Linked DNA regions of Schizosaccharomyces pombe. The gene in region 1 interacts genetically with each later gene. Each region holds a gene or a part of one and is shown on either strand. Other genes may lie near its edges.

What was found.
Region 2: mutations in ndi1 (region 1) and SPOM_SPBPB10D8.02C together harm fitness more than expected from each alone (negative genetic interaction), as found in Schizosaccharomyces pombe (one large-scale study listed by BioGRID).

Annotation. Positions count from the first base shown.
Region 1 is NC_003423.3:637,908-646,209, reverse strand, and holds ndi1 (NADH dehydrogenase), read right to left. Parts: upstream 4,917-8,302; 5' UTR 4,525-4,916; coding exon 2,869-4,524; 3' UTR 2,304-2,868; downstream 1-2,303. Other genes in the region: rba50 (RNA polymerase II-associated protein), read left to right, coding at 1-990; respiratory chain complex assembly protein Cbp6, read right to left, coding at 1,541-1,663, 1,731-1,919; exosome subunit Rrp46, read right to left, coding at 6,073-6,698, 6,782-6,836; AFG1 family ATPase, read right to left, coding at 7,192-8,302.
Region 2 is NC_003423.3:80,968-88,602, reverse strand, and holds SPOM_SPBPB10D8.02C (arylsulfatase), read left to right. Parts: upstream 1-3,084; 5' UTR 3,085-3,171; coding exon 3,172-4,836; 3' UTR 4,837-5,374; downstream 5,375-7,635. Other genes in the region: SPOM_SPBPB10D8.01 (cysteine transporter), read right to left, coding at 5,650-7,308.

The sequences.
Region 1 (8,302 bases):
GCGGAACGTGAATTGGCACAAAGGAAAGATCGGTCCTCCCAAGTTAACACACCCGACCTAAGTCAGCGTCCCAGTGATGATAGCTTTTTATCGAATGAAAAATTAAGGAGTTCTGAAAAATTGAATCGCAATCTTCAAAGCGTTTTGTCTAGTGAGGCAGTCGATAGCTCCTCCGGTTCTCCCTCTCCCCCGATGGCGCTGAGCCAAGCTGAGATTCGATCTCGTCAAACAAAGCGAGTTATGTTTCCAGATAAAGCCGAGGAACTGACAAAAATATTTTCCCTTCCAACTTTAGCTCCAATTAAAGGTAACGAAGAGGACGATGCGTCAGAAGATGCGAAACATAGCCCCAAAAAACATTCTCCAGCCCTCAGTGACGGTACAACAAGTAATGATGGTGCGCCATTGGAATTTGATACTACGCATCTTCCAGAGAAGCAAGTAACGCTGGATCCTAATGACCCAAGTTTTTATGAACAACTTCATGATAAATATTTTCCGAATTTACCTGTTGATGAAAAGCAAATGCAATGGCTGCATGATCCCAGTCCTGCCGAGAATAGTTATCATCCTTCTGTCGAGAGTTTGCATGCTCATGAAATTCGATTTGGCTTCAAAGGTGAAATTATAACCCCCTCTCAAAGTCAAACAATCCCTGTTAATGAAGGACTTCATCATCATGGAGACGCACCATTTAGTGCCGGATACACTTTAGTTGAGCTGGCTCATCTTTTGCGTTCAAGTTTCCCAACCCAGAGATGCATTGCTATTCAGACTATTGGAAGGATTATTTACCGATTAAACTCTGGCGAATTCAGAGAGGTGCTCAGTCCAGAATTGCATACACTAGTCGAAGATGCACATATCTATGAATTACTTGCCGCCGCTGCCAGTGACCAAGTAAAGCACCTCACTGTACGCTCATTAGCAATTGAGGCACTTTGGTTATGTTCACAAAGTCAACACGGCTCATCGAGATCGGCTGTTTAAAGAAGCAAGCTTTTTTTTATAAGGAAACAGAAAATTATGAAGAATGTTTTATCATTTGTATCTGAATGTGACGATTCTATTTGTTTTGGTTTATGTGTATTACTAGTTTTTTTTTTTTTTTGTATCAAAAAAAGGATGGTTTTTTTTTTGGTCTTTACTTTTTTCGAAATTGTCGCATTGCTGAGAGATTTTACTTGGTAATCGAAAGTGGTGCTGCAATGAATATATTTTTTATACTAATGCTTTATAAGGACAGTTTTTATTTATCTACTTTTATCGTGTTTCCATTCGTTATTTAGTCGAAAATGAATTTTTAACACAAGAAATGACATTGAGACAGACAATTTAGATTAAAATAGCCCACCCTCATAACTAGTAAGATATCACTTTGTCTTTAAATTTTCATCAAGGCGCAGTAAAGAGATATAAAAAAAGTATATATCTCGAAAGATCATTTAACCTAGAAAGTCATAGAAGTAACACATTAATTGAAGTATTATGAAATCAAGGCATAAATAAATAGGATGTCTCGCAGGCGCATAATGGGAGTTCATTTCCGTTTAAACAATCTTTTCCAAAGAGGAGCTTTCTCTTCTTTTCTTCTTATTTGGGTAAGACTTTCGTAGTAAGAAGGTTTAAATTGTGGTTTCAATACTACTTGCTTGGGGATATACTACAATTTGGTTAAAAGGCGAACAAAGGTAAGGCGACCCTATCAAGGCACGTAATAAGAAGCATACCTTATTCCAATAGACATTATCAAGCAAATTATTCAAAGCGTTTAACTGCTTATTAGCCTGTTGAGGTGGCATCTTTTGAAGTCTGGCTCTAATAGATGTGTCAAGAGTCTTAGGAAACGACAACCAAGGTCGCAATTCATCCTTCGGCCAAAGAGCAACTGCCTTTGTTATTTTTTGGTTTAGAGACATTATTGAGGGTTAAAAACAAGAATAAAGCCTCAACTTTCAATTGCTTTGCAAGTAGAAAGATTCTTCGACATTCTCTGCTTTGGCCAGGCTATATCACCTTATTGCGCTAAACAATATTGAGCGGCAAATACAAATATTGTAAATAACTTAACAGAATAATTACATATTTTGTTAGGCTTATAAGGATGCAATCAGTACTACGGTGAGTTTTTTTAGTGAATCATCTATTATGTTATACAACGTATATCATTAAATGATCTTAAAAAGTACCGGTGCGATGGAGTTGATAGAACCTTTGAAAACGGTTTAAAATTGAAGTGAGCAAGGTAGAGTCAACTAAGCATATTTAAGCAGTATTTTAAAACTTTCAATCTATATAAGAAAGGATATCTTATTTGGAGTGGATTAGAAATATGAAATTATCTAAGAAATGTTGCTATGTAAGCGAACGGGTTTTTTGTGAAACGGTTCCTGATGGGGTAGTGTAATATAATACTGTACAACGAATCTAGTGCCGGTGAAGCCAGCATGGCATATTAATTATACGATTAGCTAGCTAAAAGCAGAGAACATGGTTTATACGGGCTCTAATTAAAGTGGTTCTGAATACAGTAAGACATAAATATAATTCTTTCAGTTCATATGCAACATATAGTCTCGTTGAGTAACGAAATTGTACTACCTGTCAACTGTTAACTTCCAGCTTTTCTACATACATCAATGGAGTAACACTAAGAATTATTCCATCATAGAACAAATAAGGCATCAGTATTATCATTTAGAATAACATAAACTTAAATTATCAAAGTAGTAGTCGAAACGAATCGTTCATCTCGAAATCTGTTATTCAAATACGTTCCTTTTTCAAGTATAAAATAATCATCTTATGATTAACGACAAAGCACAAGGAAACAATTGCTTGTAAACCAAAAGTATTTCATTCCGTTCATTAAACCTTAGCATCATAACGTCCAAATAGTCTTGTCTTCAACCAGTCAATCAACACCATGAATTGGGATCGAGCAGAAATCAACTCATTTAAATATGCAAGTCTCCAAAAGGTGTGGCCGACAATTCCCTGCAAAGGCAGCATCTTTTTCATAAATGGCAATTTTAAATCGGCAATGGCCTTTTCATCTCCAACGTAAGCTAAAGCTCCTTGATGATGGTATTTAAAGGGCTCTAACTTCAACTGCTCCACTTGCTGTTTCAATCCGGCAACCTGAGAAGGAGCCTCTTTCTCACCTAACTGTTTTTCAAGAGCTTGAATCCGTTCATGCAATGCAAACTTCTTTCCTTCGACGTTCAAGTTCTTAGCCAACCAAGCACCTTGTTGGTTAGCAACTTGAGCAGTAGCAGGTAATCCAGAGAATGCGCAATCACCAACGGCGTACATCTCAGGTACACCCTTGACCCTAAAAAACTCATCAACTATTAAACCTTTGCGCGCACCGCTTTGTTCAGGGATAGAAGACATCAATGTACGAGTGAGTGGACGAGCAGTAATGCCGGCAGCCCAAACGAGCATTCCGTAGGGTATCTCTTGCATAGCCTTGCTTCCGTCAGGGTTGGTCTTTTGAACGATAAGGTTCTTCTCATTAACATCTTTAACCACGGTTTTAGTCATGATCTTAATGTTAAGATTTTTGAATAAATTCTCCGTATACGTAATCAAAGATTTAGTAAACATGGGGAGAACACCGGGGGCAGCTTCAATTAACGTGACATGGATGTCTTTTTGAAGCTCGGGAAACATATCCTTAACGTCGTTATCAATGAAATCTTGCATCTCAGCTGCAAATTCCATTCCAGTAGGGCCACCACCAACAACAGTGATGTGTAAGAGACGAGCCCGTTCCTCGGGAGAAAGATCTTTATTGAATCGAACTTGTTCCAAGATTTCAAAGATGCGGTTAAACACCTTCTTGGCATCTCCCGCTTCTTTCAGAAAACAGCCATGGTCGCGGACACCCTGGATACCAAATGTTTGATTACCAGCTCCAATAGCAAAAACAAGCGTATCATACGGAATAACCGCTTCCTTTCCCTCGTTAGCTTCGGTCGTACCACGAATGGTAACTTTCTTAGCCGATGTGTCGATGGCAGTGCATTCAGCTTGGTGAATGTTGGAGGGATCAATTTTTCCTTTGAACAAAGCCACAATGGGCTCAGTAATACTTGGAAGTCTCAAAGTACCCACGGTACATGAAGGAAGCATAGGGGTGAATAAAAAATGGTCCCTAGGGCTCACGAGGGTAATGTTGTACAAGGACGGGTCCAAATTTTTGATTGCCGCGACTGCACCCCATCCAGAACCCAAAACAACTATGTTCTTTTTCGGAACACCAGATTTTCCTTTTGGCGAACTGTTGTTCAGTCTTCGTAAGGATTGGAAGAGGGCTACGGCACCCAACATGGACAAAGAAGAAGTAACTTCCGCCATTTCAAGTGCTCGAGAGAAAAATGATTTGTTACGGGGTGTAGGAACATTCCCACTGTTCTTTACAGCACAGGATACATGAAATGAACGAACCATCGTTTTTGAATATGGCACTGTACGAGACAGGCGAACCACAGACTGTAGTCTAGCTTTTGAGACCGACATTTTTTAAGAAAAAAGAAGTAAACAAATTTCCCCTTAAATAGGACTAAGTGATAAGTGGTAGGGAGGCGTGAGTAAAAAAATGTATGAGATAATGACAAATGTTAAAGAGCAAGCAAACTAAAGAGATAAACCCATTCAAAATTGAGCTATTTTACGATATTAATAGACAGTAATAGAAAGAGAGAACGACAACCTTGAGTCCTCTCCTAAATACACAGTGAATTACTATAACTAGCAGAAATAAGCCTTTAGAACTGCGAAAAAAAGGTATCCAATAATAGTTTTACTAGAAAAAATTGTAGTGTATTCTAAAATACCTTCTACTTTACAGAAAACGAGTTTTTCTGCTTATTTTTTTTTTAAGAAGAGATGGGGGAGTGTTGAATGTGGACGAAAGGGCTGCATAGCTGAACATTTTGTATGTAAACAATTAAGGTCTACGAAGCGCCCTAATTCCGTCATCACGGTTATTCATATCAACTTGATTGGACTCGGCAATCAAGTGTGCTGTGAGTGGGGAAAAATAACGCGGAATAAGGTTATCCATAAAAAGTATTACGTGGTAAGAAAAGAATTGCTAAATGTTAGCAACGCACTGTGTTATCACATTTAATGTTACATTGGTAGTGTATGTTATTTGTCCTAAAAAAAGTGATATGGGTGACAAATGCTATAAATTTTGTGGCATGAAGGGTGTAACTCATCGTTGAATCAGCTTATAACTGGACTGAGAACCGGGTCAATTGATCTCTATTCATAAATTGTAGCTAATAGTACCTTCAATCAAAAGTATTTAACTAAATTTATAACCGTCATATTTGGCGAACACATAAAAAAAAGGACATGTGAAAAAATATTAATACCTGCTGTAGTATAATATTACTACATTAGATTACTTTTTAGGAAAAGTTGTGCAACAGTAATTTTTTAGTGTATGGCAAATTCCCAGTTTATGAAGGCAATGCTTTGTCCTGGGTATGAATGCCTTTTATTCACTTTTCTACCTATTTTACCTTCAATGATTTCCTAAACTTAAAATTCAGTAGTATATAAGACAGCTAATGTGTGCGACCTTCCTATGTGTTTTCAAATCGTTTCTCTTAGTTAACAGCTTGATACGTTAGATAGACTCAATATGTATAGAGTAAGTGAGTGAGTGGCAAAATTAAAAAAAAAAGTCATGAGTGTATATACCCAAGGCCTTGTACTGAACGATTGTCTTATGACAGATCTTCTTTTATGATTTAACCCAAATGTATCAGCATACATTGAAGTATTGAAAGAACACATTAATTGCTAGTGAATTGAAAGAATGACAGTAAACCTTCTAATGTAGTAGGATTGTTTAGGTTCTGGTTTCTCAATTAGTAATAAACTAAAATAAATTAAAAATAACCCAATGTATATCGCCCAAGTAATATAAAATCTAAGTATAAAAATGAACAGCCAAAGATATTGTTCAAAGGTATAGTCGTTTAACAGGTACAATGGTAAATACGAAACGAAGGTCCTTGAGATGGACTTTTTACATGCACTTTATTGATTTTCTTATGCAACCACATCCATCTCAACATCCTCTTTGGGGTTCTTTTCATTTTCATGACCATCGCTCTCGTTGTACGTTTCAAAAAGCAATTCTTTCATTTTCTTAGAAACTTCCTCGGCATGCAATGGTGCTGTCTCCAGAACACGGAAAAAATCTTCTTCTGGAATGGGGCCAGCTGTTTCGAGAAAAATTAATTTGGCTGGTTCTGAGGAAATTGAATAACAAATAGTAATAATAGACTCCAATTTGTTAATTGTCCCATCGACATCAGGTTCATCTTGAGTTATTTTGTTCTTCCAGTGACAATTTATTGCACAGGGAATATATTTTAAAGAGATACCTGCGTCCAATAAAGCAAGTACCGCACCATTGATTACGGCAGCCAATGTATCTGTGCCATCTTCCTCTATTATCTGAATTGACACTTGTATAAGTGTTCTTGGATATGTGTTTAGAAATATTGCATCTTCTAGGATACCAACAATTCTGCTAGAAATCATCTTTTCCAAAGTCTCAGCGACACCACTCACAGGTTGAACCAAAACTTCAACGGTGGCCTTGTTAAGCCTTTCGTCCCTGATTTTTACATCAATAGGACCATTGACACCACAAATAACCCTAGCAGAACCTACAATGATGTTAGCATAAAGAAAATTCATTTTTTTTTAATTGGCATTTGCTTGGCTAATATACCGTGGATAATAGCATTACCTTGTTTCCATTCGCTCGAGCCATCAGACCTTGAGAGGATACCTATACGGTTCATTTCAGCTTCTATAATGCAACAAAGTTGCTTGCTTGCAGAGACAGAAGAAACGTTTCTACTTCCTTTGCACAAGTAGGAAATAAGCTAGCTTACACCTCGTTATTCGAAAACAGAATGAGAGCAGAAAAAAATGTATCAATAGTTTGGTGACAATGGGAGTTGTATTAATAAGGGTTTGTAATTAAATTCTTCCAATTTTTACTTTACTAAAGCTGAATGATAGGAGAAACTGGAATGATCTGTAACAGCCCAACCACTAAAAAATTAGAAATTACTCATAGCCATCTTTCAAAATATTTTTTTAAAAATAATACATCATGATATATAATCTCATTATAAAGGAATCACCTTTGTATTAAGGAGAATGAATCCAGGATTGTTTTTTCATTTCTGAAAGTCTACTCAAGCAACGCGTGAAGGTAAATACCTCTTCAATCCCACCAAATGCTCCATGATAGTGAGATTCAATTTTCCCCTTGGCAGCAGGATCAGCCGTAGAGGAAAGTACTTCAGAAGGTGCTGTCGGATATATTTCTTGAACTGGAACTTCAGATGATAAGATGAGTTTTCCATGGGTGTCATAAAGGGCATCAATAAATGTAATGAACCTATGGATAAGGTCTTTCGACTCGATACTCAATTTGGGAATGTCTGAAACGATGAAAACATGGTAACGGCTTGCCAATGAAAGATAGTCGGCAGCGCTTTTCGGTTCTCCACATAATTGTTCAAAGGTGAACCATGCAACGTTGCCACTTGCTTTTGGAACGATTATCTTTCTCCCAAATACTTCAACTTCGTCTTGGTGAGCAGGATCTTTCTCATCAGCGTAGCAAAGAAACCAATTTTCCAAGGCTTTCTTAACTTCTGGGCTATTAGCAGGATAAAGATATGTATCTTCTGTTTTAGATTTTAGGCGTCGGTAATCGTTTGGACTGTCCAAACAAATTACTTGAAGACGATGTTCCAAAAGTTTAATGCAAGGAATGAAGCTCTCTCTTTGTATTCCATTTTTATACAAATCAGAAGGAGCCCTATTAGAAGTAATAAAGATAACAACACCATACTTCATAAGGGCCTCAAAGAGTCTGCGTAGTAAAAGAGCGTCCGCGACATCGGTTACCTGTAATTCGTCAAAACATAGCACTGTTGTTTCTTTTGCTATTCCGGATGCAATATGATCTATAAAATCAATCTCAAACCCATAACGATCTTGCAAATCATGTGAAGTGCGATGAACTTGCATCATAAATGCATGGAAATGAATGCGCTGAGAACGAGTAACATTGGGTGGTAAGTTGTGATAAAATAGATCCATCAAAGCGGTTTTACCACAGCCCACATCACCATATAGATATATACCTTTAGGCATACCCGGTACAGGTAAAGAAGAAGTTAGAGTGGGAGACTTCTTCCTAGAAAACATTTTCTTTAAGGGGGATATCCAAGATAGGATTGATCCCTTT
Region 2 (7,635 bases), 560 kb from region 1:
TAATTAGTCTTTACAGTCGAAAACCAAAGAATTCTTAAAGTAAGGGTTAAATATGTAGTAGGAGGAGTTTTAGGAATTTCAAATAGCAACCCAATGATATACAATGGATACATTTTCCAACTTTTAATTGCTTGGAATAGAGTTTTTGGAGTAATTGCTTCTCGGTTATGCATTTCAGCTTTTGCAAAATCATCTCTGAGAACCTTATTAACAATTATTTTCTCTTCTCTCTCAGAAAACCATCCCTTTCTCCCTCGAAACATGAAGCCGTTTGCATTGGACTTGGTGGTAATAAATAGATAATCCTCCAATAAAGTAATAAAACCTTTAGTCAAAAACAAGTATGCCCAACCTGGCTTTCCATGAAGTCCACGCATCTTTAATATGCCTACAGCTACAATAAAAGCAAAAATATCTGACAAGGTATTAGAAATCCAAAAAAATTGCTAAGCGTAAAGAGATTTCTTGTCCATTATAAAAATAAGATTAATACAAGATGACGACGGGAATAAACCCTCCTTCAAGCATACCTAGAAGCCATCTCATAATTTAAAATAATGCTGTTCCACTTAAAGAATATTGACAAATATAAACAATGCTCCATAAAACCATTTGGGTTGGAATCCAGCGATTGGGACCTATCTTCTTGCTAATTAATTGAGATGGCAGTTTTGCCGCTAAAAAGGAACAATAAAATATTGTCATACCCTTATTGTAATCATTAGTATTCATTCCTAAATCATCCAACATGTTATCTGAAAGGGCTTGTTGAATATTGGCACGATCTAATTCTAGTGCAAAAAACATAATGAATGCCCATGAAATAATGAGCATATCTATTTTACGAACAACTTTTTGTTCCTGACCCATATCCATCTAAAAAAAGGATCGATGCGGTGTCTACTTTCATAGTAAGGACTAGGTTTGAAAGCAGCTAACGTATTAGGATCATCAAAAATGGATTTTTTTGTTGTAATGGAGTTTGGATCTAGCTTTCTCCGTTTCCAAAAAAATTTCGAAAATTCCTAGGGCTCTCCAAGTTCAAGCATATTGTCCTCATGAGCAGATTCATCATCACCTAATTTCTCAAATATAGATGCTTCATCCTTTTAATCAGTATCGTAGATAATACCATTTTGATATACTTCATGTTGCTCATCTGAGGACTCGCTTTCACTTTCAATAATGCGTTGTTGAACTAAGTTGTAATATTTCTGGTTTAATCAGCTAATGATCCACCGTATACGATTTTTCCAAGTACTATAGTTAAAAAAAGATGTCCGCTCAAATAAATATTTATATGCCTATACTAGTAGCACTTTACATGCCGCTACATTATATATAAAAGTGAACAGCCAATTAATTTTGCTTTTTAATCATTTCCAAGTCATTTAAAATTCCTTGCAATAATAAGCGTATATGGGAATGTAGTTAGCACAATTACTTGCTTCGGCTCAGACAACCTATTATTATAATACAGCTTATTTTATAATAATATTATTAGCTTTTTACCCATCGAACACAAATGAAAACATGCTAAGAAAAGGAATGTTTAAACAAAATTATTATAGTCATAATCTAGGATGCATTTACCGAGTAACAATGACAACTTAACACGTGTAAATTCTAATTTGTAATTAAAACGATTTGCTATTACTATTTAAATGTAAACCAAGTTTGAATACATCCGATATAATAATGAGTAAAAAGAAAATAGTGGGTGCTGCTCAATAAGTTTACACTTTAACATAATATCAGACCAAATCTGATAAATATGAATTTACGTAACTCTTTTGATATAATTTGAATTCACTTATAATTGCAATTGATAGTACCAAAAGTGCGTTGAAGGGAAATGATGTATGGATTGTTTGAGAATGTTACATCTTTTCTCGGATCCAACATTACGCAAAGATCCTTTCTGTACAACAACTTAATCCTTTAACTTTACAAGTTCCTACAATTGAAACAAGTTGTTTTTGTATATTGTGAATGTCTTAAGATGTTCTTTATCTGTATTTTTTAACAATTGGTCCACTATTTTTGAACTTAGGAAGTCTAATTATTGGACGGCCCTTAGTTACGGAAACAATTTACCAAGAAAAAAATCTTCAGATATATAGCATTAAGCTTTATTATGATACATCTCGATACTTTTATACTCTTCATATCTTCATATATATTACGTCCACTAATCGAGATTATTAAATTCCAATTGTAATAATTAAGTATTATTTTAATTTCAAACGAAAAGAGAATCCGAGGTCAGTTGTAAATTAATTATTACCACTTAGTATGAAAATATTCGTGTCTGATATTTCATATCAATAAGACAATACAAAGGACCAAAACGTAATTTTAATCGCAGTTTACCCCCATTAAATTGTATGAAATTCGTATCACTCAACAAATCTAGGTATAAATATGATTTTTCTCAGTTATTGTCAAAAGCAAAATGTTATTATATCTAATTTATCTCATAGAAAATATGTTGAATCTTCCACTGACATTTCTCGTTGAAAGTTCAAAATAACGAAAATCGACGTCCTTGTTAATTATCATTTGGTATCTTTTAGAAAATTAATGTTTTCTTATATGTATAAAGCTTCAAAATCTATTTAGGTTCCTTTGTAGTATATTACCGAAACCGATTTTTTCTAGAGTAAAGCATTTATTGATATAAAGATCAATTAATATAATTTGGCGAGTGTTTAAATATTTTCACATATTTTCCTTTGGGATTGATAACTCAATTAATATTTCCTTGATAAATAAAAAAAAAAAGTCAATTCCTGGTCAGTAAACTCAGTTTTGCACATATTGAGTGAGTGACAGTAATTAGTTTTAAACTTGATTTACTGAATCTTATCTCTAAAATATTCAGATAAGTAAATTACAGTTTGATCCAGTAAATTGGAATGTATGAGTATCTTTTTTAATATGGATGATGTTACTCAAAGCTTACGTGATAGCACGCCATACTTCTTCATTAGGTATTTGTAATTTTGCAATCTATTACGGAAGACAATTGTTGCAAATATATTTTTTCATATTTTAATCAACTTGTGGGCTGTCTCTTGTCTCACATGCCCTTTATGAACATAAAATAAAAATTACAGTTTGAGCTGCATAAAAATTTATTCGCAATCAAAAAAAATTTGAATAGTAACTATGGCTTTTAATAAACAAGCTGAATCTAAAAAACCAAACTTTTTGGTCATCGTAGCTGACGATCTTGGATGGTCAGATGTTTCTCCGTTTGGAAGTGAAATACACACTCCAAATATTGAGAGGCTTGCAAAGGAAGGTGTACGGTTGACAAACTTTCATACAGCCTCTGCTTGCTCGCCTACTCGATCTATGTTATTAAGCGGTACAGACAATCACATAGCAGGTTTAGGGCAAATGGCAGAGACAGTACGCAGGTTTTCGAAAGTATGGGGTGGAAAGCCTGGGTACGAAGGCTACCTAAATGATAGAGTTGCTGCATTACCAGAGATTCTACAGGAAGCGGGTTACTATACCACAATGTCTGGAAAGTGGCACCTTGGACTAACCCCAGATCGTTACCCTTCAAAGCGAGGATTTAAAGAATCTTTTGCACTTTTACCTGGAGGTGGTAATCATTTTGCATATGAACCTGGTACTAGAGAAAACCCTGCTGTACCTTTTTTACCACCATTGTATACCCACAATCATGATCCTGTTGATCACAAAAGCTTAAAAAATTTTTATTCGTCCAATTACTTTGCAGAAAAATTAATTGATCAGTTAAAAAATCGTGAAAAATCCCAGTCATTTTTTGCTTACCTCCCATTTACAGCACCTCATTGGCCGTTGCAATCACCAAAAGAATATATTAATAAATATCGTGGACGATATAGTGAAGGCCCCGATGTGTTACGAAAAAATCGCTTGCAAGCCCAAAAGGATTTGGGACTTATACCAGAAAATGTAATTCCAGCACCTGTAGATGGAATGGGAACCAAGTCATGGGACGAACTAACAACAGAAGAGAAAGAATTTTCTGCGCGAACGATGGAAGTTTATGCTGCAATGGTCGAATTATTAGATTTGAATATTGGTCGTGTTATTGACTACTTGAAAACTATTGGAGAACTTGACAACACATTTGTTATATTTATGTCAGACAACGGTGCAGAAGGGTCAGTTTTGGAAGCAATCCCGGTATTAAGCACAAAACCACCGGTTAAGTATTTTGACAATTCACTGGAAAACTTGGGTAATTATAATTCATTTATTTGGTACGGACCAAGATGGGCACAGGCTGCGACCGCTCCTTCTCGACTTAGCAAGGGTTTTATTACAGAAGGTGGTATTCGATGTCCTGCTATAATTCGCTATCCTCCATTGATCAAGCCAGACATCATCTCCGATGAGTTTGTTACGGTTATGGATATCCTGCCAACCATCCTTGAGTTAGCAGAAGTCCCTCACCCAGGGCACAAATTTCAAGGACGAGATGTTGTAATCCCCCGTGGGAAACCTTGGATTGACCATTTTGTGCATGGAAAACCCGTACACAAAGATACTGACTTTAGCGGCTGGGAACTTTTCGGGCAAAGAGCTATCAGAAAAGGAAATTATAAGGCAATATATGTACCTAAAGAAGGAATAAAAACAGAATGGGAGCTGTATGATCTTTCCCAGGACAAAGGTGAGCTTGAAAATCTAGCGAAAGTCCATCCAGATATTCTAAACGAACTCATCGAGTATTGGTTGGTCTACGAAGCTGAAACTGGAGTAGTAACAGCCCCAGACGATTTTGTTGCCGAAAACGTCGGTTTGTTCAAACCAGCTAAGCACAATCTTTAATGATTATTCATGATATTGAATTTTACAATAATTTTTTACTGTTAATGAAACACCACATAGCAGTTTATTAATGGTAAAAAACTTATTGCAAATATGGAACTCGGGTTCAGCTAATTGTTTAATTTAATGGGCTATTTCCAGTCTTTTACTTATTAAACACCACAGTTTAAAGATTATAAAATCTAATAATAGCTGATTTCATCTATCAACGTATATATGCTAAGTTACCAATTGATTCAATGTTTTTTAAATATGATAATCTACAGCGAAAATTATCAGATGGAATGCAAAGCCGAGCTGAAAAATTTAACTGGTTTGGATTTCCCCTACGTATTAGGCTTTATAATTGATATAAAAATACTTTTTTAGAACATCTCTTTTTCAATCGCAACTTTGCAGCAAAGTAAACTATGAGAAACCATTGGGGATAAAAATCGACCTCCATTTTATTTAGCAATGAATGCTAGTTCTTCTTTTCAATCTATGTAAATAGTAACTGAATAAAGCTTTCAGCAATATATACAAACAAAATTTCAAACTATTCTTCGCTAAAGACGAAGATTACTATTAAAGGTTAGGAATCCTAAAGGAAACAAAAAAACAAGTAAATAAAGCAACTGTCTTGTAGTAGTCTAAAATAAGTTAAGAGTTTACGGGCAAGTAGTTTAAAAATACAAAATTTTGCAAAAAAAAAAGCAAATAGTAGAAGGATTTTTCATGACTGTTGGGAATTTGAAATTATTTTGTAAACATTTCTCATGAATACTTCAAAAAGTTATTTTTTAAGATTTATTCCTTCGTTTAAATGGATAATTATAAGGGATAAATAAACGATAGGTTCTCCTGGTCTGTCAAATCAAGCATAGAATTTTCGTAAAAACCGGAAACGTGATTTCCAGAAGAATCAATCGTCTCAATCCAAGTCTTTTCATACTGTTCTTTATTCTGCTCAAGAAGAGCAAGGCGCTTTTTGTTCCTTCGAACAAGAATCCAGCGAATGATCAGCAATACAAAGGGAGAAACAGACCAAGCAATTACTATTTGAACAATCCAAGCAGGATAATATCTCGGGGCATCACGACTCTGCCACATTTGTGGGCCAATGATGTTGGCAATGGCATATCCAATCATAAACATAACACCACGAGTAAGCTTCTTTGTGTATCCAGCACAAGAGGCTGTTGTCCATCCAAGAGAAATAATAAAAGGGATACCAAAATTGCTTGCTATAATAATAGCTGCTAACTCCCCAATTTTATGATCCCATGACATGGCTACGCACGCAATTCCTCCGGCAATACTTGGGATATACCATATAGCTCCGTGAAAGGCACTTTGGTTTTTTATCACACTCATCATATAAGTTGCTATAATTGCGCTAACGCAATTATATCCGGCACTAGCGACGCCCACCAAGGTAGAATTCAAATCAGAAACATTCAAGCTTGTAAAAAGTAAATTTTGTTGGTAAGCTAAATTGTTGGAAAGTTGATTGCAAAAAACATGAAAAGTAAATAACCATGTCACTGGATCCTTTAACGCCTCGATTACTTGATACTTCTTGAAAGTCTTCGACTCAATACCGCTATGATTACTTCTACGTACACGGTCAACTGTGTATAATCTCTCTTTCTTGGTCAAGAATCTAGCAGTAGAAGTATTATCTGGGTAATAAAAAAAGAGTCCAATAGTTAAAAAAAATGTGATTCCTCCGACGATTATCATAAAGAGCTTCCAAGGAGATATGGTGTTTTTTGCATATTGGACTCCATAGGCTATAAACCCTGCAGGAATATTACAGCCATAGCATGAAATATAGAAAAAGGGCTGAAGAAGAGCTTGCTCAGAATGAGGGAAAAACATGCCAATGGTTGCTTCCATGGTAGGTAGCAACGAGGATTCTACAAGACCCAGAAAAAAACGAAGTGCCATTAAACCACTAAAATTATATGCGGCGCAATGCAAGAAAATTATAATCGTCCAGAGAGCCGTTGAAGCAGCAACAAACTTACTGACGGGAAATCTTTGCAGTAACATATGACCAGGGATCTGTCCAATAACAAATCCCACATAAAAAAGCGTATTTATATCATTGTATTGGTTGCTATTTATGTGTGTATCTTCAAATAATCCAAGGATACTTGAGTAACTTAGTGTGGCCTTGTCAATGTATAACATCATATCCAGTATCATGAGCATTACAAGTACAGTAAAATACAATTTCCAACGCAATCTTTTATCTTGTTTAGGTGTGAGCGGTTCTAGATCTTTAGCTTCTTGCATAAAACTGAACGTTTCGTCAAGCACTGCATTTGACACATCTGGATGCGACTGAGACGAGCTCTTAGAAATATGAGAAGTTATAACATGTGGAAAATATCCTTTTTCCTTATCAACATATTCTTTGGGGTCTTTCTCATAATCTGAAGAATCTTCAACGTTAATCTGATCAGCGTAAGAGGGTTGAGGCATTTTATTTGTCTTGCAGCCGGTTTTTTTCCGCTTCAAAATGTAATCCTTTGTTTAAGTATAAAATTCTTAGTTTACTTCGTTTATCATAGAATTAGTCCCACTTTGATCACTTCATACATGGAAATGAAAACAGTTAAGTCTTAGCACAATGAACAAACAAATTAAAATTTCCGAATTATTTTTTTATTTTAGTTCAAATGTCTCGCCGAATCGTTTTTTAAATGGTCCTCTTTTGTTCGTTAAACTCGCTTTTAAAAAGAATCGTTTACCAAATCTTGGAAAGCTAATCAAGAAAAAAAACACCATTTATATGATAGATATTTGTTT